Linked DNA regions of Drosophila melanogaster. Changing the gene in region 2 together with the main gene of any one other region gives a genetic interaction. Each region holds a gene or a part of one and is shown on either strand. Other genes may lie near its edges. The genes, in order: Cat, Irc and Hayan.

The links.
Region 1: of Irc (region 2) and Cat, changing one suppresses a phenotype caused by changing the other (phenotypic suppression), as found in Drosophila melanogaster (one study listed by BioGRID).
Region 3: of Irc (region 2) and Hayan, changing one suppresses a phenotype caused by changing the other (phenotypic suppression), as found in Drosophila melanogaster (one study listed by BioGRID).

The regions. Positions count from the first base shown.
Region 1 is NT_037436.4:18,818,937-18,830,545, reverse strand, and holds Cat (catalase), read right to left. Parts: upstream 7,943-11,609; 5' UTR 7,761-7,942; coding exon 7,704-7,760; intron 4,209-7,703; coding exon 3,288-4,208; intron 3,191-3,287; coding exon 2,648-3,190; 3' UTR 2,358-2,647; downstream 1-2,357. Other genes in the region: Indy (I'm not dead yet), read left to right, coding at 1-270, 589-967, 1,033-1,323; HipHop (HP1-HOAP-interacting protein), read right to left, coding at 8,574-9,239. UniProt on the Drosophila melanogaster protein: Catalyzes the degradation of hydrogen peroxide (H(2)O(2)) generated by peroxisomal oxidases to water and oxygen, thereby protecting cells from the toxic effects of hydrogen peroxide.
Region 2 is NT_033777.3:16,999,635-17,009,889, reverse strand, and holds Irc (Immune-regulated catalase), read right to left. Parts: upstream 7,016-10,255; 5' UTR 6,815-7,015; coding exon 6,739-6,814; intron 5,687-6,738; coding exon 5,590-5,686; intron 5,423-5,589; coding exon 5,089-5,422; intron 5,025-5,088; coding exon 4,838-5,024; intron 4,721-4,837; coding exon 4,539-4,720; intron 4,467-4,538; coding exon 3,901-4,466; intron 3,786-3,900; coding exon 3,614-3,785; intron 3,557-3,613; coding exon 3,389-3,556; intron 3,315-3,388; coding exon 3,197-3,314; intron 3,141-3,196; coding exon 2,978-3,140; intron 2,808-2,977; coding exon 2,777-2,807; 3' UTR 2,682-2,776; downstream 1-2,681. Other genes in the region: CG8907 (uncharacterized protein), read right to left, coding at 1-29, 87-480, 962-1,020; Sf3a1 (splicing factor 3a subunit 1), read left to right, coding at 7,631-7,739, 7,862-8,026, 8,084-8,255, 8,317-9,779, 9,836-10,008, 10,070-10,240.
Region 3 is NC_004354.4:18,478,332-18,488,334, forward strand, and holds Hayan (hayan), read right to left. Parts: upstream 5,442-10,003; 5' UTR 5,110-5,441; intron 4,313-5,109; 5' UTR 4,306-4,312; coding exon 4,224-4,305; intron 4,159-4,223; coding exon 3,978-4,158; intron 3,803-3,977; coding exon 3,026-3,802; intron 2,898-3,025; coding exon 2,830-2,897; intron 2,802-2,829; exon of another isoform or gene 2,735-2,801; coding exon 2,463-2,734; exon of another isoform or gene 2,398-2,462; coding exon 2,211-2,397; exon of another isoform or gene 2,154-2,210; coding exon 1,807-2,153; 3' UTR 1,652-1,806; downstream 1-1,651. Other genes in the region: psh (persephone), read right to left, coding at 6,318-6,664, 6,723-6,906, 6,965-7,248, 7,314-7,423, 7,482-7,665, 7,732-7,807; CG15046 (uncharacterized protein), read right to left, coding at 9,317-9,657, 9,715-9,886, 9,943-10,003. UniProt on the Drosophila melanogaster protein: Serine protease which, by converting prophenoloxidase 1 (PPO1) into its active form, plays an essential role in the melanization immune response to physical or septic wounding.

The DNA.
Region 1 (11,609 bases), on a different chromosome or scaffold from region 2:
CATGTTGGTCTACACCTTGCTGACATTCGTGTTCCTGCAATGGCACTTCATGGGTCTGTGGCGTCCCAAGAGCAAGGAGGCACAGGAAGTCCAGAGGGGACGAGAGGGCGCCGATGTCGCCAAAAAGGTTATCGATCAGCGCTACAAGGATCTGGGTCCCATGTCCATTCACGAGATCCAAGTGATGATTCTGTTCATTTTTATGGTTGTGATGTACTTCACCCGCAAGCCCGGCATCTTTTTGGGATGGGCCGATTTGCTGAATTCCAAGTAAGTTGATATTTATAACATATAATATTATAATTATATTTATATTATTATAATAATAGCCCGACTCTATTGGTTTTCCTGGTTAAACCCGTCCCTTTTATCTTATTCGTGCTAATTTCTCGTTTAGAACACTCGAAATACGTTAATATAAATCATATTGAATTATGAGCAATTACATAAATTATAGGAACTTTTCAAGTATTTCTCTGAACATTTATGGTTTAAGATGTGGGAAAACCAAAAAAGTTTAGCTCTTACTCATAATTAATCTTGCGAGTTATATTTTTACTTAACCTAAGTACATGCTCTTCTTTCCAGGGACATTCGTAACTCTATGCCCACTATTTTTGTCGTCGTCATGTGCTTCATGCTGCCCGCCAATTATGCTTTCCTACGCTACTGCACCAGACGCGGTGGTCCAGTGCCCACGGGTCCCACTCCATCGCTGATCACCTGGAAGTTCATCCAGACCAAGGTGCCATGGGGTCTGGTGTTCCTGCTTGGCGGTGGCTTCGCTTTGGCCGAAGGCAGCAAGCAGAGCGGCATGGCCAAGCTGATTGGCAATGCTCTGATTGGATTGAAGGTTCTGCCCAACTCTGTCCTCTTACTGGTGGTCATCCTGGTGGCTGTGTTCCTGACCGCCTTCAGCTCCAATGTGGCGATTGCCAACATTATTATTCCCGTTCTGGCCGAGATGGTGAGTTTAAAGCAATGCATTTTGTATGAAACGTTGTGTACTAAATGAGTTTATTTCTGTTTCAGTCCCTGGCCATTGAGATCCATCCTCTGTACCTGATCCTGCCCGCTGGCTTGGCCTGCAGTATGGCCTTCCACCTGCCGGTTAGTACTCCGCCCAACGCTTTGGTTGCTGGCTATGCCAACATTAGGACGAAGGACATGGCCATTGCTGGAATCGGTCCGACCATCATTACCATCATCACCCTGTTTGTTTTCTGCCAAACCTGGGGCCTGGTCGTCTATCCGAACCTTAACTCGTTCCCCGAATGGGCTCAGATTTATGCCGCGGCAGCACTGGGAAACAAGACGCACTAGATAGTTAGTAATTAGTGTAAATAACTAACATACCCGTCACAGCGATAAAGTTGAGGAAAATTTAGGGAATTTTAAACGAAAAGTGCCTTTGCTGACAGCGAAAAATGTGAAAAATATTTAACTATGTATACTTGCATTTCAGAGTTGCGAAAAGTTTTGATACAAAAGCATTACCTACTGTTTAGAAAAATGTGTTAAAAAAAAAACGTATCGCAATATACTGTTAATCAGGAATTGAACACCTGGTCTACGCACTCAGCTAAATATTTAAATACAAATTAATGTTACTTAATTGTTGCATTTAGCATAAAAATGGAAAAGATTTGGAAAAGTTAGAACAGTTTGTTCAATGGCAGCCCTGGCCTGCTAATATTTTAAATAACTAGACTGAGAGAACTTACATATTCATACATGTTTTTCAACTTGTAAAAATTTTTAAATGAACAACTCACTCAATACTTCATTGCGAACCAAAATGAACACACAAATAGCGGTAGGCTAAGCTTAAATGATACTGTGTACATTTTCAGATGATTTATGTTTTATATAGTTTGTAAAAAATATTAAATAATAAAAAGCTCAAACGACAATAATACTATACGTTTGTTTATTTCAATAACTTATTTTGTTTGATGTTCAAAGCGCGCCATGCATTTCGTATAACGATAACTCGAATTAATCGATAACTCGCCCTGCTAGGGATGCGCGATTCACTGAAAAGGTTTAAGACTCACTGGCACAGTTTTACATCTACTGGACACTTGTAGCTGAAATTTCAATTCATCAAATAAAATACATATTTTTACAAAATTACGGAGAAATAAAACATTTTACTCATAGGAGATAATGGTAATAAAAATATCATTACAAAAAGTATTAAATTGATGTATATTTCATAGGAACAAATTTGATTAAGATTAAGTTCAATCATTCGAAGTAGTAATTTCTCAGGGTACCGAAGAAATATTTAAATGGGAATTAAGAGCTCGACTATAAGTGACCCAAAAAATTAAAGAATCTCCAAACAGTTATATCAAAAAATAAAGAATTTATTATATATTCATTGCATATACATATACATTGTAAGTGTAATTTGTTTATGACTTAAACAATTTTGAATATCAAAACAAGACAAGACACATTTCGTGGTTAAATCAATTTAAGCCCGCAACCAAAGATCCGAAAAGCGTTCGCCTTTCTTAGTCAATTTCGGAATGGGTGGTGTTGGTGGTGGTGGTGTTGGTGTTGGAATAATTAGTTCCATTGGATTAATCGTAATTAAGGCCAAAAACCAAGTCTGATCCGTCGAATCCGCTCGCTCAGCTTAGAACTTCGAGGACTTGGCCAGGTTGAGTTCCTCGGTCAGCATGCGACCGAAATCGGCGTGCACCTGGGTGAAGTTCTTGACGGCCCGCTCCTGCAAGAACTGGCTGGCGTTGCTCAAATGGCCGGCAATGTTCTGCACCAGACGCTTCTTGGCGCACTTGTCGAGCACATGCACCCAGAAGTCGGTGACCTGGCCGAAGTTGTCCTCGGTGTCGCCGCTGCTGTAGCGGTAGACATCTCCAGTCACCGGACAGCAGGAGGACAAGGCCCTGGCCCTGGGGCATTCCTGGGGACCGTTGAACGAGTTGGGGAAGTAGTTGGGGGCACCATCCTGGTTGTCCGTCACATTCATGGCTCCATCCCGCTGGAAGTTCTCAATCTTCACCTTGTACGGGCAGTTCACCGGGATCTGCAAGTAGTTCGGTCCCAGGCGATGGCGATGGGTGTCCGAGTAGGAGAACAGACGACCATGCAGCATCTTGTCCGGAGAGGGCTCAACGCCGGGCACCAGGTGAGCGGGACTGAAGGCGATCTGCTCCACCTGAGGGTCAGAAAATTACCATATTAGTTATCTTTCTTTTGATTGCATTAATCTCAAATGAAGAAGAATCTATTTGAAACAAAAAAAAAAAACGAACCTCAGCAAAGTAGTTCTTGGGATTGCGATCCAGCACCATTTTGCCCACAGGAATCAGAGGGTACTCCTTCTGCGACCAGACCTTGGTGACATCGAAGGGGTTGTACTTGAACTTCTTGGCCTGCTCGTAGGTCATGACCTGAATGTACATCGTCCAACTGGGGAACTTGCAGGTCTTGATCCTGTTGTACAGATCGCGAATGCTGTAATCCGGATCAGTGCTAGCCAACTGATCGGCGGTCTTCACGTCCAGATTCTTGATGCCCTGGTCCGTCTTGAAGTGGAACTTGGCATAGATGGGCTCGCCCTTGGCGTTGATCAATTTGAAGGTGTGCGAGCCATAGCCGTTCATGTGGCAGTAACCGTCGGGGGTGCCGCGATCGCTGAACAGGATGCACACCTGGTGAGCGGACTCCGGTCGCAGGGTGAGGAAGTCCCAGAACATGTCCGGATCCTTCAGATGCGTCTGCGGGTTGCGCTTCTGGGTGTGAATGAAGCTGGGGAATAGGATCGGGTCGCGAATGAAGAAGACCGGCGTGTTGTTGCCAACCAAATCCCAGACGCCATCCTCAGTGTAGAACTTGACGGCAAATCCTCGAGGATCGCGGGCGGTGTCCGCAGATCCGCTCTCACCACCCACGGTGGAGAATCGCACGGCCAGTGGAGTGCGCTTCTTGACCTTGTCGAAAATCTTGGCGGCACAATACTGGGTGATGTCATGGGTCACCTCAAAGTAACCAAAAGCACCAGCTCCCTTGGCGTGCACGACACGCTCTGGAATCCGCTCCCTGTCGAAGTGCGACATCTCATCCAGGAAGTTCACATCCTGCAGCAGGATAGGTCCTCGCGGACCAACCGTCTGGGAGGCATCCTTGATTCCAATGGGTGCTCCATTGCCGGTGGTAATGGCACCAGGAGAAACCTGCAAAAGCAAATGAAAGTCAAGTTTAATCAAATGTATTTTAATTTTAAAATGCTATGCAACATTCAGCAACAATATATTGGTTCAAGTGTCTTACAATCTTATCGGGCCTATTGCGATAATTCATTTTTGGCCCGCGGACTTTCATTTAATCATTCGATTTTCACCAAAAGAAAAAAACATTAACATAAAGATTGCAGAGCGTTATCTCTACACGGGGGGTCATTTTGCAGTGCATATAAATTTAAAATAAGAGATCCCAGGTGTTCTTAAGAGCTTGAGGCCTTAATATAGTGATGATGTATGGGTTTTTTGCATTAACATGTCAAGATATCAAATCCGTGTGCAAGGAAAAAACCAATTAAATGAAAGTATTCAAACATCAAAATGATGTTACACAGTTTATTAGCTGGCGATCAATTAATTATTTCATTCCATTAAGCTAATAAAAGTGTATTGTCCATCTGAAATATCAATTAGCCCACCAGCTGTCCTGTCATTTATCAGTCGATCTAATCATACTCCTTGTTTTCAATTCATTTCCCTAGAGTAATCCGAGACCGCTCCTTAATCACCTTATCGTTTATTTCGCATGCAGGCCAGCCACTCATTATAAAATTAACTCAGCCAACAATTTGCAAAACTGTCACCGGCCAATGCGCACTGTTTAGCTAATGTATTTGAAACCTGAACAACGCCATGCGAAATTCTAATTCGAAAGCATTTCTAGAACAATGCATATAGAATTTTATACAGAAGGTTGTTTATCAAAGTGAAGCCACCGGTGGTGGTGGTGGTGGTGTGTCAAACATATAAATTAAGCTACTGTTTATATTTCACAACAAAGTCATTTAGATACATATAGCACTTGGGTTGGGATTACCCGGTTGGGCACTAAGACTTTTACAATTGTTTAAGGAATTAGTAGTTGACTTTATCAAATCTTAGTTCCTAGAAGTATATATGTATCTATTTAATAATAAAATCAGCTTAGACAGGCCAGTAGTATACCCACTTATTGACAAACAAAAAGCGCTACATAAAAACGAAGAAATGAATATAATTTCGAAATTATCATTCTGGAATTTATACTGGAGTCACCCTTTAGATTCGGCCGATTCAGCCGGAATGTTTTGCACTTTGAGACATTAATATGGGGCCACTTCAGGGGGCAGATACGATAAGTGAAGCAAACCGGGAATGACAATGCGAGTGGAACCGCTGGAACTGCGATCCACGTCCAACAAGTCAATCTGGTTCCTATCAGAGCCTTCGTTCTTATATATGTATGTATGTATTTGGTTGTAGATATCTCCAGCGAAGAGCAAACTGATAAGAGAACCGCAACCGATCTCGAATAGAAATGCAAAGAACACAGTCTACAGGAAAGTTTTTAATTGCAACTTGTTGGCGATGCCAATGACACAAAGATGGCAAACAGCAACTTAATGAGGCGGCTTTATAAGATCAGTGCACCTGATAGTATGAGATAAATTTGCCTTCTAGACATAATTTATCAGCAGAAGGTTACTCATTCGAGAATGAGAATGCATAGAAAATAAGCTAAAGGATTTTAAATAAGGATTTTTATAGGGTTCTTAACCGACTCACAATGACCTTACGCAATATGCATTGCGTTGCAAAATATTCCAAGTATTTTCCTTGCATTTTCGAATTTCTTGGATAACAAATTAACTCGATTGCGAGATTCCCAAAAGAACAAAGAACCCAGTTGCCATGATTATTCACCGAAACAAAGGCAAACATTTAATTGCCTGACAGAATGCAGTTTTCACAGTTTCGTCATAGAAGGTCAAAATCGACTAAAACAACACGAACCAACCAACCAACTGTGGAGCTAGCTCTCTTTTCTGGGTCAGTTCGAAACATATTCTCACATACAGTCGCTTTTAGCCGGGCGTTCCAGCCAGGTTGCATAACCAAATTGGAGAAAGAAAATTTGCGTTGACTTATGGCACTGGCACACGCATTTTCCGAAGCGGTCTAGCCTTCCGCACTCAACCCAAAACGGGTTTAAAGCCGGGTTCGTTGTCACTCGAATCACTCGCAGTCGATGCGCATTGCAACCAGTTTGTGCAACATTGAGCCGGTCGCCGCAGAGTCCATTGACTCCCAACGAATTTTCCAACTTACAAGCGGTGCAATCCAGCGATCGCGTTTCTCAAAAAGTTCATATCTATATTTGTTTATATAAAATAATGACCGCTGATTGCTTTTAGTTAGTGGAGTAATTGGCTTCGTGACTCAATGCACAAATGCACTTAAATCGCTGATGCGAGAACTAAGTTCTAGATTTAGCCTTAATTGAATAGGGTAAAAAAAAGGTATACTAAATTAAAAAACAAAAAATGATTGTATTCTTTGAGAACTGACAATTCATACTTACAAAGTATCGAAATCCAATGGAAATTTACTTTAGTTACTAACCAAATGTGGGCACTCAACAATATCTATACGGCTGATACATCTAATCTATTTGGGCCAATTACTTAGCTGTTTTGGATGCCTATCAACTGGCTGACAAATAGCTATGCAGAATTATTATTTCATTTATCGATTTTTAGAGGGCATTGGGAAAACCACAGGGAAATTGCCGAGTAAATTATATATAGATACAGTATCTATGGGTGAGGCTTACTATTGATTTTGTTATATTTCATTCCTTTTTATAAAATGTAACAGCATATTTGATTTCAAAAATGATTGCAGTGTATAAAATGTTGCAATTGTGGAATGCCACGAATTTAGGAAAGTACAATTTTCCGAGTGTGAACAAACAATATTTGTTCAAAATTTTAAGAGGGCACGATTCCACAATTGAAATCATGCATTTAATCTAAACCAAAAGCGAAAGCGAATAATTAACACAAAAGTGCAAACGAACAAATTCGAATACTCAAATCCAATGCACAATGCAAGTGCCAAATGAAATTGGAAGTGCTAAGTGAAAACAGCGCTGAAAAATGAAAATAGACTAAGGTAAGAGGTCGCCCAAGGTTAGAAAATAGGTTAGCTAGACTAAACTTTGGATTTCCTTAAGAAGGAAAATAAAAATAAAAGGGAAAATAAAATTAACTTTGGATTAGGTACAGAAAACACAAATCCAATAAGAATTGCCACACTGATAAGGTTTATCAGTTCACTTCTGATAAGATTTCTACAAATAAATAGAAGACCCAGAGAGGCGGCTTTTGAACTTCGAACTCTGGGGAAACGACTTCATCATTACTGGCATTTGTTGGACAAGCCTTTGTTGTTTTTCGCATTTTAATAATTAATGGAATTAATGGAAAGTACAGGCTCATAGCAATCGTTACTGAAATTGTCTTGTTTTTTGTTTATTTCATTTCGTACAATGCTTCTCCCTTCTCTTTTTGTCTTTTTTGCCTTTCTTGTTTTCTTATTTTCCTGCCGGCACACACACGCACACACATGCAGTTGCGCTCTCTCGCGCTCGCACACCAACACACTCACCGTTTGGGAGTTTTTGTAGTCAATCAACTGATTGGAAGCCGCATCGCGTCCAGCCATTTTGCTTAAAATTTAGGATATTTGCTCAACGGGATAACCAGAATTTAGAAACACTCGAACTGGAAAGTTGTTGATTTCTAGCCGCCTTCGGTTTTTTGCTGTGACTGCGTCGAGAATTCTGTCAACTAAAGCAACTGCAGCGCAGTTCCATTTGTTTTTATAGCCCAGCACCACGTACTTGTTGTTGCTCAGGGTTGTCGAGTGGGCCGAAGATATCGATATTTCGATTATAGTTGGAAATATATCGCTTAAATATTACATAATATCCATTATTATTCATATTTGTATTTAAATAGTATGAAATTCATTTTCAAAGTTTTTTTTTTGCACTGTCCATTTAAAAACGTGTCCCAACACCATTAAGATTTATTATTGATAATTTATAGTACCTTCGCTCCATTTGCTGCCCAGAAAGGTGAATAAATTTAAACTGTTTGTTAAGTTATTTATTTTTTTAATTTCATGAAAATGTCGGCATCATTAAGTTATAAACTAAGTCGGCTATCTATTGGTGCTCCTGCCAAATAAATATCTATGGCCTCTTTTTTTCTTAAGTTGTGAACCTCTTCCAGTGGTGCCTTTAAAATAAATGTACTTCATTCATATAATATATGTAAATATCATTAAACATGTTAAAATTATAAACTTCAAGGAAATCTCCAAATGGCGGCTATCTTTCTGTGGCTCCTGCCAAGCTAACATCTCTGTCTTTCTTTATTTTAGCGTACAAAAATATCTAATTAAATGAAACTTAGAAACTAGCATCAACTAGCATATGTATCTTGTTCTCTAGTCACAACTTAAAAAAATCACCTAACCACCTGTGGTTCCCATCAAGTAAATATCCATGGACTGCTTGTCCAGGACGGTCGGGCGCCTCTTTGGAATCGGCTGAATGTGCGGCAGTCGCGTGCCATTCACGGCGTTCAAACTGAGATTCGAGTTGGGGTCGTAGTCGTCGCAATCCGGAGTAGTCTGGGCCAAGCTCAGCCTCTGCGATGGTTTCACCATTAGGTTTGCCCTCGCAAGCTGGCGTTTTTGGATCGCTGCAGCGCTGGTAGTGGGCACATTGTCTGAATCTTGACTTAAGCTTCTGTGGGAGCACAGCTCTTCATCGGGAGTCACAATGCCCCCCTCACTGTATGAGGCACCGAATTCGGAACTTTGGCCAGAGACATGCAAAGAGGGCGCACTTTGGTGCGACGATGACTGACTGCCGCTGACGTCCGTAATGCTCGCGGCAGTCTCCCTGGCCATCTTGTGCCGTTTGGCATTGTCGTTCTTCTTCCGGTAGAGTCGCACCAGGTCCGTGTAGCACTTGCAGCAGATGAGGTTGCCCGCCCGAATTTCGCTGTTCAGCAAACAGGCGAAGCGCACCAAATATTTGTTGTTCAGTTGGCGATACGGCTTCCGCAGCGTGTGGTTGCCGACTGCGCAGAATCTCCGCTCAACGCGCGAGCCCTCGTCAATGGAGGCCATCTGGAATAGATCATGCACCTAGTTCTCCACAACTCGGGCTTACAAAACAATGCTTACACTGGCATTTTAACTTCCAAACGCAACAAAACGAAACATGAAGCCAATTGTCCCGCCACTTTGGAAACATATAGTGTGACCACATATGGATTGCTGAAATATACCAAAATTAGGCGTAAAATAAAATGCATTTAACTAATAAACAAATTCAATTTTTTTAAATGTTATAAAATCTAAAAACATACTGACATGGTCACAGTTTCTCACAATTTAAATGTGGCTTATTGTAATGCCAGTTAAGTAATTAATATGAAGAAACTATTCGTTTAAAATTGACAATAATCTAATTATTGGCGTGTTCGATGTTCATGAAATACTTATGTTATATCAGTTAGTTTGAAAATTGACTGTATTTCTTCTGTTGGTTGTATCAATTAAAATGAGTTTAAAAACACATTTTTTAAAACCCTAAAACCACATTCAAATCAAACTGTAATTATACCAACTAATACTGAAAATACCGAAAACTGCAAAATCAGCTGCTCGCCGAACAGCACTCAGCGTGCTGTTGGACGCGAAATGTTAGCCCATTAAACCCAGGTTATTTTTTGTCATTCATTGTTCATACGTTCGTCTCGTCTGATTTTCTTTTTATAAAAACACAATTAAAATTTCAAACGAATACACATAATTTTTATAAATATAATGTAGTGCAACACGTATATGTATAATATAGCTTAATACCAAGTGCAATCCCTCGAAAGATAACTTCAAATGGCAATCTAATTTACGTAAAGAGAAGAGACAAAAAAAGAAACGGCGCGTGTGAAATTTTTTCAAGCAAAGCAAAGGAGAGAAGTTGGAGCAACAAAAAAAAGAGGAGAGAAAAAATACAGCAACAACACACAAAGTAGGCCAACAACAACAGCAAGAAAAAAGCAAGCAAGCGGCAACAACCACAGCAACAACAATAACAACGTCGAGCGAAAGAAGCAAAAACCTTGTAATTGTGTCAATAAATGTTTTAAATAATATTTCCTTTGGGAAAGGCACCGTGTCTGTGTGCGCGCTTCGTGGTGTGAGTGTGCGAGACAAGTGAAATTTTCTTTGTTTCCCTGCGGGGGAGGAAAATACAAAAAAAAGAGTCAAGAAATAAAGTTGCCTTGAAACAACAAAAAACGCTGCCCCAAAAAAAGTGTATGCATGTGTGTGTGTCTGACTCGTTGTCTGCTGGTGTTGGTGAGTGTCTGGCCGTGTGTGAGTGTGTGTGGCAATGAACGTTGAGCAACAATAATTTTATTTATTTGGAATTTTGCTGCGCTGTTTGCTTGCTTTTATCTTTATAAATATACGCACAACTACAGCGCGATAAATGAATTATGAAAATAAAAGTCCCAAGTGCTCTTTTAGCAATGAAAATGTTTAGCCAAAAAACGAAAAGCAACAAAAACAGCGGCTTTAAGGCTGCTGGACAGGTTTCCCACGGCTAAAAAAAATGTAAAATACGAAAAGGAGCAACACGACGGCGACGTAGAAGAAGAAGCAGCAGCAATGCGTGAAACGCGAAAGCAAAGTGAAATTCAAGACAACAACAACAACAAACACGAAAGCATAGCGGCTAACAGAAACCGTTATTCAACAATTTCTTGAATAAAACAACAACGACAACAACAACAACATCGTAAAGCATACAAGTGAAAGAAGGCACAAAATACTGGTTTACACAAAATAAAAAAAGATAAAGCAGAAGAAAGAAAGCAAAGAGAGAAAAAGTTGCTGCACGAGAAATTTCGTTCGTGTATGGTCTCCCCATTTCTATCTCTGCATATATGAGAGTGTGTGGTGTGTGTGTGCATTAGTGAAGTAAAGTGAAAAGCAATGCTGCAAGGAATTACAACAACCACAGCCAGTTTACAATAAATATATAACAGTAAACGGTACTTAGGACCACAACAAAGAGGCCAAACAAAGAAACGAGATATTTGGACAAAATCTCAAGGTAAGTGAAGCAAAGCTGAATATTTCGATGATTTTCTATAAAAAAGTGCGTGCTTTAATTAAAGTGTGGGCATAAGTATCGAACAAAAGCGTTAATATTGAGAGACAGACAGAAAAGAAAAGGGAGGGAAGGCATGTTGCCTCGCTTCATTTTTTTTTGGAGCATGCGAAATGTCTACAGGTGGCTTATTTACAGTTACTTTCTTGATAACAGCTGCTCGGCCTTCTCGTCTTTCTTTCGTTCATTCTTCCTTCGCAAAGCTCTTCTTTAAAGCTTCTCACGCTCGTCGAAGAATTTCGGTGTTTCATGTCTAATCGCCATCTAATTAACGGTAAAAGGTGATGCTCAATGAACACGATTATTCCTTTTCATTT
Region 2 (10,255 bases):
ACCAAGAGCACGGAACTGACATCGGCCACCTATTAATGATCTAATTATTACAGATCTCAAAGTGCTGAAAAATCGTGGCTGCTCACCTGGAAGATGTGCATTTCGGTATTGCCCAGTGAGATTCCGGGCACTGAGAAAATGAGGATATTGTTGAATGACTCCTGCGGATGATCGCTTATAAAAGCCGTGGGCTCCGTGATCAGGCTCCCCGGAAAGTTCTCAATCTCCTTCATATCACTGTCCAGCATCACCAGCCACTGCCCATTGAAGCTCATGAACATCTTGTGCGGCCAAATGCCCCCGGTCTTTTCCAATTCGACCAGAAGCTTCATCTTCTCCTTCGGCTGCTTGACCTCAGCCTCGTTCTTCAGCTTAAAGGTGGCCAAGTGCTCCAGGGCATAGGTGGGCTTGACCTCGTCGTAGTGCCCATTTGCCTGATTCCCGCCAGGGACTCCATTTTCGTAGCCGTTTTGTGGCATCCTGAGAAATAGGGAAATGGGCATTCCAAATAACTATAGTTTTTTTTTTTTTTATCACTTATTGGTTGTTTCCATGTAAAGTTTGGCATTCAGGCGCACATATTGTAGAATATGAACTGCGCAATTCTTTGCCCTTCTTTTTGTTTTGTTGATAACACTACATTGCAACTAATGCATGACATAGAGGTAATTGACGATGAGTAATAGTTGCTCTTACACTTTTTAATACAAGGAAAATAGGTTAAACTTTAATAGTTCAATAGTAAAGAATTTTCTATCTTGTTCTGCATCTTTTACACTATAAATGCAGATCAAGGACGAAAAGATCTCTTTGTTTGAATGTTATGCTAACATAAACAGTAAAACACCGAAAATTTCCAAAGTGGCACTTTAAGTATACGGGTATATGATAGACAGGTGTTGGCAATGCTTCAATCTATGAGATAGCCTCCTGTCTATCACGCTTGATATTTGATATTTACCCATACTTGACCGAAATGGGTCGGAAGTATTTCAGGGTCCTATTGCCTGCTTTGACCATTGCGGCGGTGTGTAATCAAAGCGTTCTGGTAAACTATTGATTCCCAATGGGCAATGCGAATCAGATAGATGGCTACCATTAGATACCTTTGCATTTAGAAGTACATAGGTGTACATATGTACATAGGAGAGTACCTATTTCACCTGTGTGGTAGCTACCTGTCCGATTAGATAAACGCAATTGGCACTGTGTTTGCGATTGCTTTGCTTTTTCAGTTTGCTGGCGTTACTTTATTTCTGTTTTGCAGTTATCACAAGCCAGGAAATTCTTCGCTCATGAAGCAATCGTTAATGGCAGCTTATTACATAAGGACTCGAATATAAGAGTTAATCGCGTATTTTTAGGCCGTGATTGTGGGTCAATTATTTACCGCCGTGTTTCGAGATTTATTTATTGCTTTCACTGGCATGACATCAGATCCTAAGATACAGATGTCTGAGACATATCGTTGGTATGTTGATTTACGGGCTTAGAAGAACCGATGGATTGGTTACCTTGTGTGCTGCCCACTGTGCTCTTTATTTATTTATTTGCTCTTTTTTCTCGACCCGATCTACAACTCTCGACCCGCTGTGAATCGAATTCCAACTCCAACTAACTGACGTTGGCTGGCCCAAAGGGAATGGGAATCGGCGATATCAGCTGGCTCATTAATTGATTGCCTGAAATTGCGATGGTGCGTTATCGCAAAAGCAAAAGTGTGCCTTATCTCTTGGTGCTCATAGGCACTTTTTCAATCTTATCTGGAAGCAGAGCAACAAATACAAATACGAATACCATTCCTTATGAGAGAGTCTGCTACCCTTGGGCCTTGATTTTGATATCGGCCCACTGTGGGATCGTATGAAATGGTCAGCAGTTGACCCTGTTACCAACAACAAATCTTACTTTCAATTAAAGATAGTAATTACTAGGAATTTCTTTAAGTTCCATTAACACATTACTTAAATAGCTTATTATTGATTGGCGAAAAAGTGAAAGTGTTCTTGAATAAAACTTAAGTATAAGTTTTATATCGCAAAAATGCATCTCTATGGTTGTTTTAATCTTTACAGAAATCATTAAAAACGTCTTGATGACTATTTTTCAAAAAACGGAAATGAAAATTACTTATGTCATGACGTGCGCGCATAATTTCGATCAATTAAATCTACATACAACTTACTTTATATCTTATTCTACTCGTATTATCATATCATGTATTTTGTATGTTGCCTATGAATCATTCCTAACTTAAGAAAGTCCTTCATCATAAATAAAGAGCTTTAAAACAATCATGCTTAGGGTCTGGGGTAACTATTTTATTCGTTTATTGGCCAATAACTTTTATTGGAGCAAATTGTGACATTCTTGCCTTTTAATGACTACTACTTCACGTAATAACAGAAAAAAGCGACCCTCATTACAGTTGAAAATGGGAATTGTTGAAAATGGAAATACACGTACCGCACTGTCCGCAACACTTTCTGCAACAACTTTGAGTATAGTAATATTGCGTGACTTTAACGATCCGCTTCTGAATTGAGAGTTATCAAAAGTGTCAACCAGACACAATTGATCTGTAAATTCATGTCTATGTCATGTAATTCTACCTGTAATTCGATGTTCCCTTAGACAAAACGTATAGTTAACAACCAATATAGCAATAAGATAATAAGAATCAAGATTGAGGTATTTAATGAGTTTTGACTCTTATATATATTTTTTTTTGGTTTGGAAACAATCTTAAATGTGAGCAGCGTTGTTTTGTCAACCTCTAGACGTCTTCACAAGAGACCATTTGATTTCTGTAAGGAAACGCGAAAGAAAAAACAATCATTAAGGTTGTAGATAATTTTGGTTGCTGAGCTTATCACTCCAGTACTCAGTATAATATCAAATGTGAATCAAATTGTGTACGGACTGTGACTCAAGCGAGTGACAGGTGATCTATTATGATTTTTTTTCCAATACTAACCTGGCCGATGGCAACTGGAAGATATTCTGGGGAACAGCTGAAAGGCCGGAATTCAGGCAAAGGAGTTTGGTTCCATTGAAGTGGCGATATTGCTCCACCAGTTCAGTGTGTTTTTGGACAGCTTTTTGCTGGTTTTGTTTCAGAACATGTACGAATTGCTCAGCTATAAGAAAAGTAATTGAGTGATATATATACATTTGCTAGCAGTATAACTCATACAGATAATGCAACTGAAGGTGGGGCCAATGGATCCATGAACAGGATTCTCCGAAATACCACCCACAATGAGGTCCACATCAGCCCAACTGGCGTATATTGTTTTCAGCTTATCCAAGACCTTGTTGAATGAATATTTTAAAATTATATTAAAAAAAAATTAAAATATAAATAATAAATAAATAAAAGACCTACATCACTGGGAATGAAATGCTCAAAATCTTTCCAGCTTTCTACGGGTCTGGACAACACACACGATTCCAAGTACCGATAATATGGCAGCAGACCGTGATCTCTCCCCCTTTGGATATCGAAGGCCAAAATATCGGCATGGGTTGGCTTGGTGTCCTTGTGCCAGACGACCTGTTAGTTAAAAAATGAATTTCAGAAGCTATAAAATATCAAAATCATTTGGCTTACACCACCGGAGTAGGCAGCGTCCATCTTCATGGTCTCCTGATTGAGCAAACTCTCAAGGATGTTATTCAACTTTTGGGAAGTGTACTGCAACTTTGGTTTGTAGATTTCTTCCTTGAGCTCAAAAAGGTTTTTAGTTGGTAGCTCCTTGCTAATAAACACATATTGGTTGTTTCTGTAAGAAAGTTAAATGTTATTAAAAGTTTAAAGATTCTGGCCAACTTGTCGTATTAGTAATTTATATGGAAATGAATTTCTTAATTTATTCTTCATCAGATTGTGACACTCACTTCTCAGTACCGTAGACTACGTTATCCTTGGTCAGATTTAGGAGCTCATTGGGCAGCATAGAGAAGTAAAATCGAATGGCAGCCACCGCAAACTCATTGGAGACCTCCAAAGCACGATTAGGCTGTTTTCTCCTAATCTCACTGGACATCTTCTGGCCGAGCACCTCTGGCAGCCACTCCTCAATGACCACTCGACGATATATATCCACATTGACTGCCTTGGCAGCTTGGAAGAGCTTTTCATCGCTCCACCGGGGATTCCTTTGCTTCAGCTCGGCAGCCACTTTGTTGTGATTGCGCATGAAGATCGTGTAGATCAGTATGGAGAACGGACTGCTATTCACCCGCGAATCTCCGGCAGCAAAGCAGGTGCCATCACCAATTGTTGCCCTGGCGCAGAACGATGGTCCTTCCGTATCGGTGGCGATGGGCAGGAGGGCGTTGTCGAATTCTCCACGAGGAGTTGACCTTAACAAACCGCCCTCGAGAACACGCAACTTTCTCTCCGCCGCTGCGGTGAAACCATAGAGTTGCGATAGATCCAAGGACCCCGTGGCCTGGTTGAGCTACATACATATAATAGAAGTAAGCAATCAGTGATATTTTTACATGGTTTTTCACAATTGAATTCTTCTTACTTGTTCGGCGCCACCGAAATTGCAATCAGCCACGGCCAGAGCACTTCGCACATAGTTAAGGCAGCTGGGCACGTCGTATTTCCCACCGGGCTGGTACAGAATCGGAGCACATGCCGGGTGGTGGTGACGCGGCTGAAGGTTGATCTGGTCACGGCTGCAGCACTCTATTGGGGCTCCATTGCCTGGGAACGGAGAAATCGTTAATTGAAACAATTTTAACAATATAAATATATAAATTGATATACTTTGGTTTTAAGTATGTTAAGTACAAAAGGAAGAGGTCATCATATGAAACTCACTCATTGATTGCGACACCGGCTTGCTAAGATCATGCTCCACAAATTGAGCCCACTGAGGGAGGGCCAAATTGGAATTGCTTTCGAAGGTTTGTTGTTTGGAGATCTGAATGTGATCGGGCTCATACAGCTCCTTACTAATGGACCACGCAGCCGGCACTGTTTCGCGTCTTCCGGAATTGGGAAACATCTAAAAATACCATATAAACCATTTAATTCATCTTCTACATCCTGTTTTTCTGAGCGGATCGCACCTGATAGAAACCGTTCCTGTAGTGGCTGCTCCCAAGTAGCCTTCTGAAAGCATAGTGACCCTCTCGATTTCCCTTGAGTGAGTTCTCACACTCAGTTCGCAAGCTACTGCCCTCCGGAAGTGGTTTTTGCTCCAGGTAACTGCGGCACTTGTCTCCATCGATATTATTAGGCAGGCATTCGCTGTTGAAAACGAGCAAGCTGGACTTAAGGATCTTCAGGGCGAGCTTATTGTCCTTCTTCGAAGCTAGGCTTGGTAAAGTATCCAGAAGTTGAGCGTGTGAAAGGCTGCCGTTCTTAACAGTGATATCGGAACCTAATAGATTGTCCTCCAGTCTGAAAAAATGGTTAAGTAATATTATGTAAAATATAATGTTTAAATTTAAGCCCGAATACGGAAATATAAGTCGCGCACCAAGTTCAGCAGAAAAGTGTCACATCCTAAACATATCAGCGTAAGTCATTAAAGTTAACTGGTTTTCAAAGTAATCAGTTGTACAAACCGCTTTTGCCTATTTACTGAGTCCAACGCCGTTTCTACATATTGCAACCATTTCGAAGCAGGAATCCTGTTTAATTCGGCATTAACATCTCGGCTCGCTGAAGATTCATAAAATGATACAAATGAATTGGTTAAATTTAAGTTTATTCAGATGGGTAGTTTAATTTATAATTTTCATTATCATCATTTCTCTTGGGAATCTCAATTTCTAGGCGCCGTTTTAAGTAAATTGACTCATTTAAAGAAAACATGATTTATATCTACGGTATAATTGAATTGTTCTGGAATATTCCACAAATTGTCTTGTCAACACATTAATCAAGACAATTTAAAAGTACTATATCAAAGGTAACGATACAATCATAAAAAATGGCCTTTTGTGAATGGTTTCTATGCAGTCGTATTGTTATTGAAAGTGTGAATACCCTATTAAAGAGATATTTACCTGAATACAGTATGCTAATTCAAGTGAAATATCTCTGCATCTTACTCGAAAAATAAACATCAATTATTTCTCACGCTTATAGAAATCTATTTGGATCCGATCAGTAAACAATTGTTGATTGGGAATTCTTATTCAGCGATAAGCCCTCATATATGCGAACCTTGGGGTGAGCTTTTGGAATTTATTGGAATCTTTATCAACAAGTATATGCAAATGGGGTTTTTTGAATGTAACAATTTAGTAATGTTTATTACAATAAACAAATGTGAAAACCTGGTAAAAACCAATGCAGTCATTCATGATGATATAACGCTTGAGCACTCGCAGAAAGTGGAAAGTACATTTTACATTGATCAATAAAACAGTTTCCCATTTCTGTATATATTTTTAATACTTGTACTTAATTACAGGCTAAATAGTGCGTAGTGATTGTGGAAATTTATCGCTGTGAGACGACCAGCCTCCGCTTTACGAATGTCTTTCTGCTTTATCAATTAAATATTTATATACTTCAATAAAGTTTTTATTATCATAATAAACCGAATAACAAGCTATAAAATTAATAGGTTTCCCTCTATTTGGTCTACTTTTCTACACGAAGAAGACTGTGCTCTCTTAAAAGAAATTAGCACGAGAATGAGATACTTGACACCAAAATGTCTCTATAAACACAGAGTTTAATTTAAATACTGCTAGCGGACTCACAATTAGCATCGATTGTTGTCAATAATGATGCTCCTATTATGAAAGCCAGCAGGCAGATGTACTGAATTCCACCCATTGCAGTGTCTTTGTTCTAGAACTCGGATTTTTCAGCCACCGGTTGTGATTCACAAAATACCCGCACGTCAATGGGATTTAAGTCACGTCGCTAGCTTGTGATAAGGAAGTGATCCGAACTGCGACTCTATCGGACCTAATCCGCGCTTTCAGTCCAATTAAACCGTGTCGACGGCTCAGCGATTCGTAGACTACTGAGCTTGGGGGCAAATCTCGACAGAATCGAGTCGATGAGAATGAGAATGAGTCGGGTCGTTATCACGCACAAGGGAACCTCATCATCTGGATAATCATCATCATCATCATCTGGCTATCGTGCTGGCAGCAGACTCTCTCAGCGAATGAATAAAGTCGTACAAACGTAAACAAATGTTATTTTTGTTTTGGCTTGGTGAATCAAGCCACCCGTACAAAGCCGTACCAACACTAACATAATATGCAAATAAAGACCTCATCCGTGGGGTTCAGTTCTGCCCACGCCTTTGTCCGTCCATCTACTGATATATATGTAAAGATTTTATAAGCCATTATTAACGCCTGAGTTGATGGTTTGTCCGACAGATTGTTTAAATCCAGCGCCAAATTAATCGATAGGCTGAGCCAGTGGTTCACTAGTTCCGGCTTGAAACTAGTTCGTTTATTGAGTCACCCTAACATTACTACATGAATGTAAGAAAACTATCGATGGCGGTGGCAACAGTCCAACGATTGTTCCATCCCTATTCCTTCCACCTCTAATTTTCGGCTAAACAAGCGTTTTCTCATTTCTCAAAAAGCAATCAGATTTTATCAATAAAAGAGGACGATTTCACCAGCCATGGCAACTTTAGACGCGGAAGCCAACGAGGAGCAGTTCGGCAATGATCAGCCCAAGTCGATGTCGGGTCCAATCATTGGGATTATCTATCCGCCGCCGGAAGTTAGAAGCATCCTTTGCCAAAAAGAAAACAAACTTTTTTCTCAATTTAGCCATTTTTTACTCAAAATACATTCATTTAATACACATTTAGCGTTTCCCATACTCAGTTATCAAAGCTTTAACTATTAGATATCGTTGACAAGACCGCCAGTTTTGTGGCTCGCAATGGACCGGAATTCGAGGCGCGCATCCGCCAAAATGAGCTGGGCAATCCAAAGTTTAACTTCTTAAATGGCGGAGATCCCTACCACGCATACTACAGACACAAGGTCAACGAGTTCCGCGAGGGCAATGGTATGTTTTCGTTCACTTCCCATTAATACTTCCTCTTAATACATGAGACCGTTTCAGATGCCGGTATCACTGCCCTTGCCAGCATGAAGCAGCTGGCGGTGACCAGTGCCGCCCAACAGCGCCAGCAAGAGCTTCTCAAGCAAGTGGTGGAGCAGCAGTTCGTACCAAAGGAACCTCCACCTGAATTCGAGTTCATAGCCGATCCGCCCTCCATTTCGGCGCTGGATTTGTAAGTGTCCACTCGCCAGGAAGTTCCAATCGCTGTCTTATTGTCTTGCATATCTTTTCAGGGACATTGTGAAGCTAACTGCTCAATTTGTGGCCCGTAACGGCCGACAGTTTCTGACCAATCTTATGAGCCGGGAGCAGCGTAACTTTCAGTTTGACTTCCTGCGACCCCAGCACTCGCTCTTCCAGTACTTTACCAAGTTGCTGGAGCAGTATACCAAGGTCTTGATACCTCCAAAGGATTTGCTGGGCAAACTGCGTTCCGAGAGCGCACCGGGCAGGAGCAGCATGAACCAGGTGCTGGAGCAGGTTAAATATCGGGCCAACTGGCAGCGTCACCAAGAAGCACAACGCCGCCGTGAGGAGGAGAAGATCGAAAGGGAGCGCGTGGCCTATGCCCAAATCGATTGGCATGACTTTGTGGTGGTGGAGACGGTGGACTATCAGCCATTCGAATCGGGCAACTTCCCGCCACCCACGAATCCCGACGAGGTAGGAGCCCGTGTGCTAATGGAAGAGCGTCTAATGGACGAAGAGGGCGATACAGAAATGCAGATCGAGTCGGACGACGAGGGCGACTCCCAGGCTAACAACCTATTGGACAGCGGTCTGAAACTCTCGCAAATGGAGAACCGTGTGGGTATACAAATGAAGAACGTATCGTCGTATGGCCAGCCGACTGGCCCCAAGAGAGACAACACCCAGGTGCAAGACATGGACGAAGCCTCTAGTGATGAGGACACTCCAACCACTAAGTTGCAGCCATCTGTTGCGCCAATGCTGCCGCCCACCCACGACAAAGTGGTGGTCAAGAAATACGATCCTAAGGCAACGCAACCGAAGCAGGCGCCAATGCCTACGGATGAGTATCTCATCTCGCCGATTACAGGAGAGAAAATACCGGCTTCCAAGGTCTCGGAGCACATGCGCATCGGTCTATTGGATCCACGCTGGGTGGAACAGCGAGACAAGCATACTGTGGAGAAAATCAATCAAGACAATGTGTTCGCCGCGGGCACTGCCATCGAGGCGAGTCTCAAGCAACTGGCTGAGCGTCGTACGGATATCTTTGGTGTGGGCGACGAGGAGACCGTCATTGGTAAGAAGCTCGGCGAAGAGGAGACGAAGAAGGACGATCGCGTCACCTGGGACGGACACACGTCCAGCGTGGAGGCGGCCACGAGAGCAGCACGTGCAAATATCACTCTGGAGGAACAAATTCATCAAATCCACAAGGTTAAGGGACTGCTGCCCGACGAGGAGAAGGAGAAAATCGGCCCCAAACCGGTGGGCAACAAGGCGACGCTTTCAGCTCCGCCGCAGCCGTCAACCAAGTCGCAGCACAGTCACTCCAGCCAGAGTCAACACCACCAAGGTGGCGGAGGTGGTCACCACGGGCATCATAATCCTCATCATCACCATCCACCGCATCAGCAGGCGCCACCTCACCAGTCGCACCACCATCACCCGCCGCAGCAGCCTCAACCGGTGATGCAGCTGATGCAACTGCGTCCAACCATGATGCGTAAGTAACAAATAGTATGCAAATCTCGTCGAGGGCTTAGCGTTTTTATTTTGCAGAGCCGCCTTTTGGAGCTGGTGGTGGAGGCTACATGAACATGCAGCCTGGTGGAATCCCTCAGCAAATTGCACCTGCTCCACCTGTTGATATAATGGAGGAGGAGCCGCCTTCTAAAAAGATTCGAAGCGAGGACAACCTGATTCCAGAAGCAGACTTTATTGCCACCCACAAGGTAAGTTTGATTTTGATATCTGGCTATCTATTGGTATATAACCCATCTTAAATTATTTCAGAGCCCTGTGACCATTCAGGTTTTGGTACCCAATTCCGACAAATCAGAGTGGAAGCTTAATGGACAGATGATAGCCGTGACCATGGCACTTTCTGAACCCATTGCCAATCTGAAGACGAAGCTGCAGGACGAAACTGGCATGCCACCGGCCAAGCAGAAGATATTTTATGAGGTAAGAAATACAACT
Region 3 (10,003 bases), on a different chromosome or scaffold from region 2:
TAAAAGCCAACTCTTCACTCTTTAAACTTTATGTTGTTTGCAGTTTGGCATTTTCAGCTGCATTGTTTCAAATGAAATATAAGAAGATTTCATTCCATCCGTTTGAGATAGATTGTTAATGAAACATCAGGAGATTTTATATTTCACATGAGTTAAGTAATTATAGTCATAATAAATAATAATAATAATATTAACTATAGTAATAATGCTAGTTATTATAGTATAATAAATATTTCAAGTGATAGATAGTTTTAAATTTAATCGAGATATTAAAATGTCACAGTTTTATTATTCTAAAAAAAAACTATTTTGAACTAGTATAAGCTTTCTTTTTGAAATTCTAATAGTTTCTCGATTCTGAGTAGCACTGTTTTATGGTATTTCACCTCGCTAAGCGATTTGCGCCCATTTCCCGGGAATGCTAAAGGTAATTCCGAAATCCCGGCGAGAATGCCAGGACATGGCTCATTTGTCAAGTTGGCTTAGCCAGACTTAGCCGATTTGCTGGATGCGCGGGGGCGGGGTGTCAGGAATCGGAATACGGAATACGGAGCACGGAATACGGAGTACGGAATCATTAGTCCCGGTGCCTTGGCACCTGTTGTGTGGTCCGCGTGCGCCTACGCCCGAGTCCGGGCTGTGTTCGAACGGATCAGGAAACGTTATCGCCGGGCACGATGTGGAAACAGATGTGCCGCCGGAATCAATTTCCCACCGTGTTAGTACATGCCACCCAAATAGATAGTGGCTATACATATGGTGGGTGGACTGGGCGTACGATAAACACAGTCACTGTCCATCAGATAAGCACAAGCACACAAAGATCGACTTACATTTACGATTGCAACTGTTTGGTGGAAGTTTCAACTTTTTGGGGTCAGGTCAGGCCGACGGACTCATGAATTCGGGCGGTGGTCACTCAAAAAAAAAATGTAACAAAAATAAAAGTAAATAAACAAACACGACGCGAACTCGGGACTTGTGTTAGTTCAGTTTAGTTTAGTTCGATTCGGTACACTTCAAACGCCTAACGGTAATCGTGTTCAAATTCCAACGGATTCGAGACTTTATGTGCGTTAGGAATGCACCTTCACCGCTGAGCAGGCAAACCGACAGCTTCGCAGTCTCGCGACCAACTGAAGCCCGAGGAGTCCTGGCAGCGCCATTTAAGCAGCTCCCACTTTTGCTGCCCGCAGGAGTGCGGCCTTGTGGGGAGAGCGGGGGCTGGTTTGCTGCGAGCGGACGGGGCCAGTGGGTCGGTGGGTGGTGGGTGGTGGGTGGTGTTTGGCTGGCTGTTTGGCCGCAGTAAGCCGGCAGCACTTTGTAACGGCGGCGAACAGCTGACTGCAAAAGCTCAGTAAGCAGCTTTTGTCGCAACTTTCGAATGCCACACCTGGCAATGCCGCGCGCAGCGAGCTTTTGCGCTCTCAGTTCTGTTTACGTACGAGCGGGTGAGGCGCAGACAGCGATAGTTTGACAGCTGTCCCGAAACCAGGGCTGCTGCAAAACGTCAGTGGGTAAAGTGCTTGGCACTTATGATACCTCTTAGTTGCCTCAGATGTTTGAATTTCTATTACACTATTATACTACACTATTATACTACACTATTATACTACACTATTATATAAAATAAAATCGATTCTAACATTTTGAGGAACTGAATGAACAACCCTTATGGCTTCTTTAATGACACTCACTGAATTGTGTCGAACTTTGTCTAAAGACAAAATACCTTTATCAAACACTTTTGATGGGAAACACCATCCGATCCGTTCAAACTAAATTTATTGCAGATCAAATGACGCCTCAGAAACGATTCGACGGCCACACGATACCCTCGATATAGTCGAGAAAGGAGGAGACGCGTGTGTAGAGGCCCGGGGTCTTGGTGGCGCAGCCGAAGCCCGAGGAGATTACGCCTACGATCGAGTAGGTGCCGTCGACGTCGTCAATCTCCAGGATGAGAGGTCCACCGGAATCGCCCTGACAGGCGTCCTTTCGCTGATTCTTGTCCGCCGCGCACAGCTGCGAGGCAATCACGCCCCTTCTCAACGTCCGGTTGGCACTCGGCTGTTCCGCAAAGGATGCATTGCACTCGTCGGCCGGCACCAGATCCAGAGCCGCCCGCAGCAGGATCTTTGATACGGCACGATCTGTAAAGACACCATCGAACACAATCCAATCCTGCAGTTTACGCACACACAACTTACTGGTCACATTCATTACACCCCAACCGGCGACGAAATATTTGTAGTTCGCTGGCGGATCACTGCGATCCGTGTAGAGACAGGCGGGACGGATGACATCGGACTCCTTGGCATCCTCGGCCAGCTGCAGAATGGCGATATCGTAGTACTTACTACTGCCGGAATAGTCCGGATGAATTTGAACATCAATCTGCCAATGGAAGTGAGTGAGTTCAACTGGTTATCTCGCACCATGTGTCACATGGCGATACCAACCACATTGATGTCCTGGTAGCCCGGCTCGGGATTTTCGATGTTCAACGCACCCAGACGGACGAAACTGGGTGTGCTATCGTCACTATTGACGCAGTGAGCCGCTGTGAGGACGAATCGACTGGCGATGAGCGATCCACCACATCGGAACGCTGCGCTCCCGAAGGAGTTGTACGCAATGGCCGCCATGTGGGGATAGACGCCCCTATCCACCCGTTCGCCGTCCAGAATGTGCACCGTCAGGGGCTTTCCACCGGATCGGATCTTCTCACACGCTATCATCAGATGATAGGAAATTTAATATATATTGTATATAATATATCTCCAAAGATATTTTCATATAAAATATTCCAAAGAATGCGCAACTCACCTGCCACCGACGGTCGCTCCTTCTCGGGAAGATTGACGCGGGAGGGATTGGGATTGGGCGTCGTTGGCCTGCGAAAGACAAGGTATATCAGCGATTAAAATTGGGCTCACGATGGTTTCCACCTGAGACAGAGACTGCATGCGGCTCCCTGGCTGAGGCCAACTGATGTCCATGCCAAAAGAATGCTCAGACAAACCGCGTCTCGGCTGGATTGAAGATGCTGGGAGCTGGATCCGCGTCTAGATTATTGCTGACATCGTTCCAGGGTTCCTGGGGCTGGGTATCCTTGTCTCTGTCCTGGCCCCGAAATCGGTAGGGTTCAAAGGGATCGATCAATTGCGTGGGCGTGGGTGCGGGTGTGGGCGTGGGCGTGGTTTGCAACACCATGGGCACTTCTCGAGCAGGCTCAATCTGCATTCCCTGCTCCCGCAGCCGATCGTTGACCAAATGTATGAGGTTGTTATTATTGGGGCTTGGATTGGTATTGAAATTGGAATTATTCGGTCTTTGGGGTCGTGATCGAGGCGTGGTCAGTGGACGGTTCACAATCCGTGGCTCACGGCCCCACTCCGGTTCCATAAAAGATCTCTGGGTGCTTGCAATGGGTTGAGTCTTCGAAGGAGCTATGCCCCAAGCTCCAACGCTTTGGATGGGCAACTTCATGGGTTCGTGTGTGGGCAACTTCATTGACTCGTGAGTGGGCATCTTCATGGACTCGTGAGTGGGCGTCTTCATCGACTCCTGTGTGGGCAACTTCAAGGACTCGTGGGTTTTCTGCGGCTTTACTGTGGTGCTTAGCAGCTTGTTGAAGTCAAAGAAGTTCTGATTCTCGTCCAGCCGACTTTCCCGCTCCCTTTTCCCCTCGGTGGTCGTTGGAGGCAGTGGCTCCGGTTCTGGTGTTGGTTCCCGCTTGGGTTCGGGTAAACTGCTGCGCTCGGAGCTCGTAGCATGGAATTGGACCTCACGACCTCGACTGTGGGAGTGAGAGGTGTTAGTCTGGCGTTGGACGCCGGTAACCGGGGCATGCAACATCGGTGGGCACACAGCACAAGCGGGACACACACAAACACATATATATGGTGCACAAACAGGAGGACAAAAAACAGGACAATAGAGCGCAGAGGCCAAGGAGACAAGGACACGCTTACTCAGTGGCACAGCAGGCGACGGTGGGGCAGCAGATGATCTCCTCGCGGGCGCCAAAACCACAACTCGGCACCTGGCTGGTGGACAGCGTGCCCGACTTCAAATATCCTCTGATGTTCTCGCAGGCTGAGGAGGAGAGGCAGATTCCCGGTATGTCCGACCTCACCTGGCAGGGATCGCCCTCTGCAACGAGAAATGCGGCCAGCTGGCAAGGATCTAGTGTACGCGCCGCAAGACATCCTACATACCATCCCCAACTGTTACATACGCAGAAGTTGTCAGCACCAGGAGACCCAGAAGGAAGTACCTTCTCGCCGAGATCATCGCCATCGGTCAGCTGAAATTCCCAAAAGCATTAGTGAATCCCATTCTACTTGGTAACGCTTATCAGCCTTATCAAAACCGAAAATGGAAAACATCATTTTCACAACAGGGGAAGCCCTCGTCGAAATGGTAAGGGAAAAACAAACGAGATCTGTTTCTTTCAATCGACTCGACTTTCAGCTGATTAAACCGATCCACATCCACTGCCATTGACCCATTTACGATTTTTTTTTTTTTTTAATATGGGAACACCACAAAAGCATTCTCCATATGAACTGCTCGATTGTAGTAAGCCAGACTTGATTGATTTCATTTGAGAGACTTTGTGTTGATGGAAAGTTTGTGTTTGCCGATTACGACGAGCATTTCACCAGCAGCGCCGCCAGGTGAGATCAGATGATTCATGGGAGGCATGCCGCTGGGATTTTACCACCGGCTAAAGACGTGTACTGCCAACTGATATCGCAGCTACGTCGGTAATAACCGATACGAAAGTAACACCTGACAATTATGCTGCTCAATTGAGCAGAGAGTCGTCAATGTGTCTGCAGTTCAACTGAATCATATATATCCGATTGAAGCAATGCAAAAGTGTCATGACATCACCTGTTATCGGCCCAAATGAAATTGTATTAAATAGGTATGCGATTGCTAATCAGCTTCCGGCCTTCCGCAGTAATTGCCCATTGTAAACACGACGAAATCAAAAGTAGAACATGCAATACATAGCCCCACATCCCCACATCCCGCAATCCCAATGTCCATTGTCCACTGTTCACTGTACACCGACGTCCGCCTTATCGAACGCACCTTTGACACGACCTTTTTTCGGTCTCTGATAAGGGAGTAGTACGTCTACGTATCGATGTCGTTTATTGAGTGCGTCGAGCACTGTGGTGACTATGGCAATCGGGCACCGCACAATACAATACAATTTAATTCAATACCACATAAACAAAACAAAATCCAAGGGAATTACGAAAAAAAAAAATAAAAAATAAAGAAAAAAACACCGCAAAAAGCACACCAGCAGAGTCAATAAAGCTAAAAACCGGTGGCTATCACAAATCGCGGCGGTATGGAATCTGCTGGCTATTTTCCCGGCTCTGACCGCTCAGCAACGCATCGCCCAAGCAACTGAAGCCAAGCTTCTGAGCCCCAGCTGGAGCTGGAGCTGGAACCGATGAGGCCCATTTAGACGTCGACCAAGAAGCGCCGGACCCAGCAGCTGATAGCACCCAGAGCCGATCCTCTCCCGCTGAGCGGCGAACCGGTTTCCCATTCCACCACTTCGCAGAATCGCAGAACGATCCGAAGCGATCAGAAGCCAGAGCACACAAAGCACAAAGGCAGCCTGTAATTAGCGAGTGGGTAAGCAACAGGCGAGCGGTATGGACTAAAGGATACCGCGTAAGGTCTATGCTGCGCTTGGTGACCCCGATATTTACACCTTTAAAAGTCGAGTATAATTGTGTCACAGAATCGTGTTTTAGAACTTACCATATATATAGTTTCAATTGCAGTAATCTTGTTTTTTTTTTTTTTGTATAATTCTTCTCTAATTAAAGTGGTGACCCAGATACTTACTTTCTTGCCTAGGTTGCGACCTAGGTGGTGACCCAAGAAGTCCTTTTCAACTTATAGTCTGAAACATATGCTTAAAATTTAAATTTCTTATGACAAATCTTTCTGAAATAAATGCATTCTGTTTGTATTTCCCCATTTTTTTTATACAGTGCAGCAATTCAATAAAAGTGGTGACCCAGAAATCCCTCTAAAATTAAACAGAACCAGAAAAATCACTTCACAGAGTTCTGGAAACCGAACTGCCAGAAATAATATTGTACCGATTGATTATATCTTAAAACGTATCTACTTTATTGGTATTAAATGGTTCGATCGCGGTGCTCATAGAGATCACAGATGAGTGTTTGCCAATTGCGATGGATCAGGCAGTCCTGATCCCAAATAGAAATAATATACATACAAAAAAAACAAAAACTTTACTTTTCCCAACTTTACACCCGATTGTCCGGCCAGACAATGCCCTCGATAAAGTCCAGATAGGACGAGACACGCGTATAGAGTCCCGGTGTGACGGTGGCGCATCCGAATCCCGACGAGATGACGCCCATGATGGTGTACATGCCGTCCTCCACGTTGAGCTCATGAATGAGCGGCCCACCGGAGTCGCCCTTGCATGCGTCGGCGATGAGCTTTTGATCAATGGCGCACAGCAACGAATCGATCACGCCCTGCTTGAGCAACCTTATGGAACCGGGCTGCTCCGCATAGGATATATTGCATTGGTCCAGAGGCACCAGCTCCAGACCAGCGCGCAACAGGATCTTAGATCGCGCCCGAGCTGCGGATGGTTAGCCATTAGTGGAAGTGGAGGATATGGAACTTTTTGTGCTACCCACTGGTTACATTTAGGACGCCCCAACCGGCGACAAAGAACTTGGAGTTCGATGGCGGATCGGTGGCATCCGTATGGAGACAAGCGGGCCGGATGTTATCCGTCTCGACGACATCACGTTCCAGTTCCAAAATGGCGATATCGTTGTACTTATTGCCCACATACTGCGGATGGATCTTAACGCTTCGCTGAGATATGGTATCGATCAGAATGGCTATAACTTAATGCATAAGCACAGTGACTCACTATGACGATATCCTGGTAGGAATGGTCTGGATTTTCAATGTTCACAGCTCCCAAGCGAACAAAGGCCGGCGTATTGGCATCGGTGTTGACACAATGTGCGGCGGTCAGGACGAAGCGACTGGCGATTAGCGATCCGCCGCATCGGAAATCGGTGCCAAAAGTGATGTAACCAATGGCCGCCATATGGGGATATACACCCGGATCAACCGGATAACCGCCCACGATGTGTATGACCAATTGATTGCCGCTCCTCTGCTGTTTTCGCTCGCGAATCTTCTTGCAGGCTATATCGTGGGATTGGAAATAAGTAGAGGAACTCTAGGAGTGATCTGATCAAAAGAGTAAGCACCTGCCACTGCTGGGCGATCACCGCTTCCGAACGTGGGCACATCGACACGACCACTGGTCATTGGAGCTTTTGTGCTTGTGGTGGAGCTTGTGGAAACGCTTGTTATGGTACTGCAAAGGCAAACAACCCATTTCTATGTGATCCCAATGGAAGCAATTCGCGGATTACCTATTGTCACAGCACGGCTTGGTGGGACAGCAGAAGATCTCACCCCAAGCGCCGAGGCCACAGCTGGGCACATCGTTGAGCGTCAGGACTCCCGACTTGATGTAGCCATCGATTAGGGGCTCACAATCGGAGGATGTTCTGCAGATACCGGGCATGGTATCCGTCACCTTGCAGGCCCGACCCACTGAAACAAACGCAAGATTCGAGTCGGGCAAATACTTGATGTGACCTGGCTGAGATCGGAACTCACCTGTGACGGCTGCTTCCACGGAGGAGCAGCTGATGAGCACAAAAGTGCCGAGTAGCAGGGACCACTTCAATGGCATCTTAATTCGCTGCAATTAATGGAGAATGTAAATGAATGAGCTTCGCCATGATTTTCTGATTACAATAAACCAGCAGCCATTGACCAACTTATTGAGTACAGATGCTAGACATGAACTACAGTCACTCCTGGCATTGGAGGGCCAAGTGGGTGAGGAAAACTCAAGATTATTTTTTTCTTCAAGGCAGTATTTCACCATCCAACGGAAAACATAACATGGAAAGGTTGGATCGGTTGATTCACCTTTTTTTTTTGGCGACTGTAATCTTCGTTCTGTCACTCAGTACGAGGGGTATTTATAGCTGATATCGAAAACCTCCTAAACTATCTGAGTTGGGGATTTGTTTCTGATAAGGACAGAATGCTGTTTAGTTTGGATAGAGCCGCTTACGCTTATTGATTGTGAGTGCTGAACTAGCTTGCAGTAATTATAAGCTAATCACATGTATGATTGTACGACTTATGCTCATGGCACGAACCTTCCACGGAACCCACCTTCGACACAACCTTTTGCCAGACTTTGATAAGGGAATACGTCGCTGTTTCGATGTTCTTCGAGTGCACCGATCACTCCGAGTATGGCAATCGGAAGCACAGCACAAAAACACAAGGAATACAATACAATAAATCAAGCAAAACACGAGGAAACCAGCAAAAACAAAACTGCACACGACGTAAACTCAATGGAGCTTTAAAACCGGTGGCTATGGCGGAGAGAATCTGACCGATATGGTCACAGACGCGGCGGATTGAAACGGTCAGGCTGGGACGACGGTTCTGACCGCTCAGTAAAGCATCTCCAGTGCAACTGAATCCCAATCTGTGACTAGTCCAATCTACACACTAGGCGGCAATAGATTGCTCTCCAACCGGTTTTCATCTCTGAAAGATTCTTGAATCCAGAGCCACAACCGATCCGAAATAATCGGAAAACCCGAGCAATGCTTTTATGAATAATTAAACATAAATAAATATAAGAGGAGATCGTTTTTCAGCGGAATTAGCAATGAGTTTCTTATGCTGCATAGTCCAAACTGTAATGACACAGTCTCCTCCCTTTGAATTTGTATATCAAAGAACTAAGAGCAGTACTTAAGATGTAACTGTTTCGAAACGAGACCTTCAACAATTCCAAGTGCTTGATTTATGCGAACAAATAGCGAATAAAGTCATCATGTGTGCAAATATTTGCAAATTTATGCAATAACTAAACGTAACTTGAAGGCGCTGTTTACTCTATTAACTTTTGAATGAACAGAGAGAATTGTAATAAATATATAAAATTTATTTATAATGTTTCTTATATTAATTTACTTACTACAATGAGGTTTTGGGTAGATGTTAACTGGTATATTCTTAGGCATAAAAGTACAGTCAGATCGTGTTCAGTGTGACCATGCTGCTCCAATTATTTCACAAGCTGATGCTTGCGAAATCAATTTCACTTCTGCGTTCTTCTCATCCAATTTATACATTATTTGCATAGATTGTTCTAACTTAACCTGGATGACTACTTCTGCTCCTGCTCCACAAACCGCCTGAACGGCGGACTCAGCAGACCCGTGAAGTACATGGTCCGTGCCTCGCACTCAGCCCCCGTGGGCGTGGCAACCCCAATGACGCAGCGACCTCCGCCCGGTCGCACCAGATGGAGTACACTGCCCACGGAAGCCGGACAGGCGGCGCAGGTGCTGCTGTTGGAGAACCGCTGCAGCTCCCTTTCGCCGTCCATCGGCTCCACGCAAAGATGTGAGCTGCCCAGATCCTGAACTCCGCCGTAATTGGGTAGATCCCCGCAGGCCCATGTGGGACGCAGTCGCATGGGCATCTCGAACAGCGGACAGTCAGTGTCTGAAAGAGCTTTATTCGTTTAGTTGGAACTCCTTGGATGAGTATGCTATAGCTCACCTTCACCCTTGCCCCAACCCACGGCCACTAGGCTGCCGCTACGCTGCAGCCTGGTCAGCTCGAACTGGGTGCAAATGGGAGCCACGCTCACATTCGCGGAGGTCTGACTGCCCAGACGCAGTGGGTCCTGCAATCGTATAAGTGATAGATCCTTTTGAAATTGAACCAGGCGCTAAAATATTCGACATTTTAGATTTGATGTACATGGGCAAGGACTGATGGACTCACCACTATATCCGCCAGATAGTCCTCGTCGGCGTCAACGTCCCGCAGATCAGCCACTCCGAAA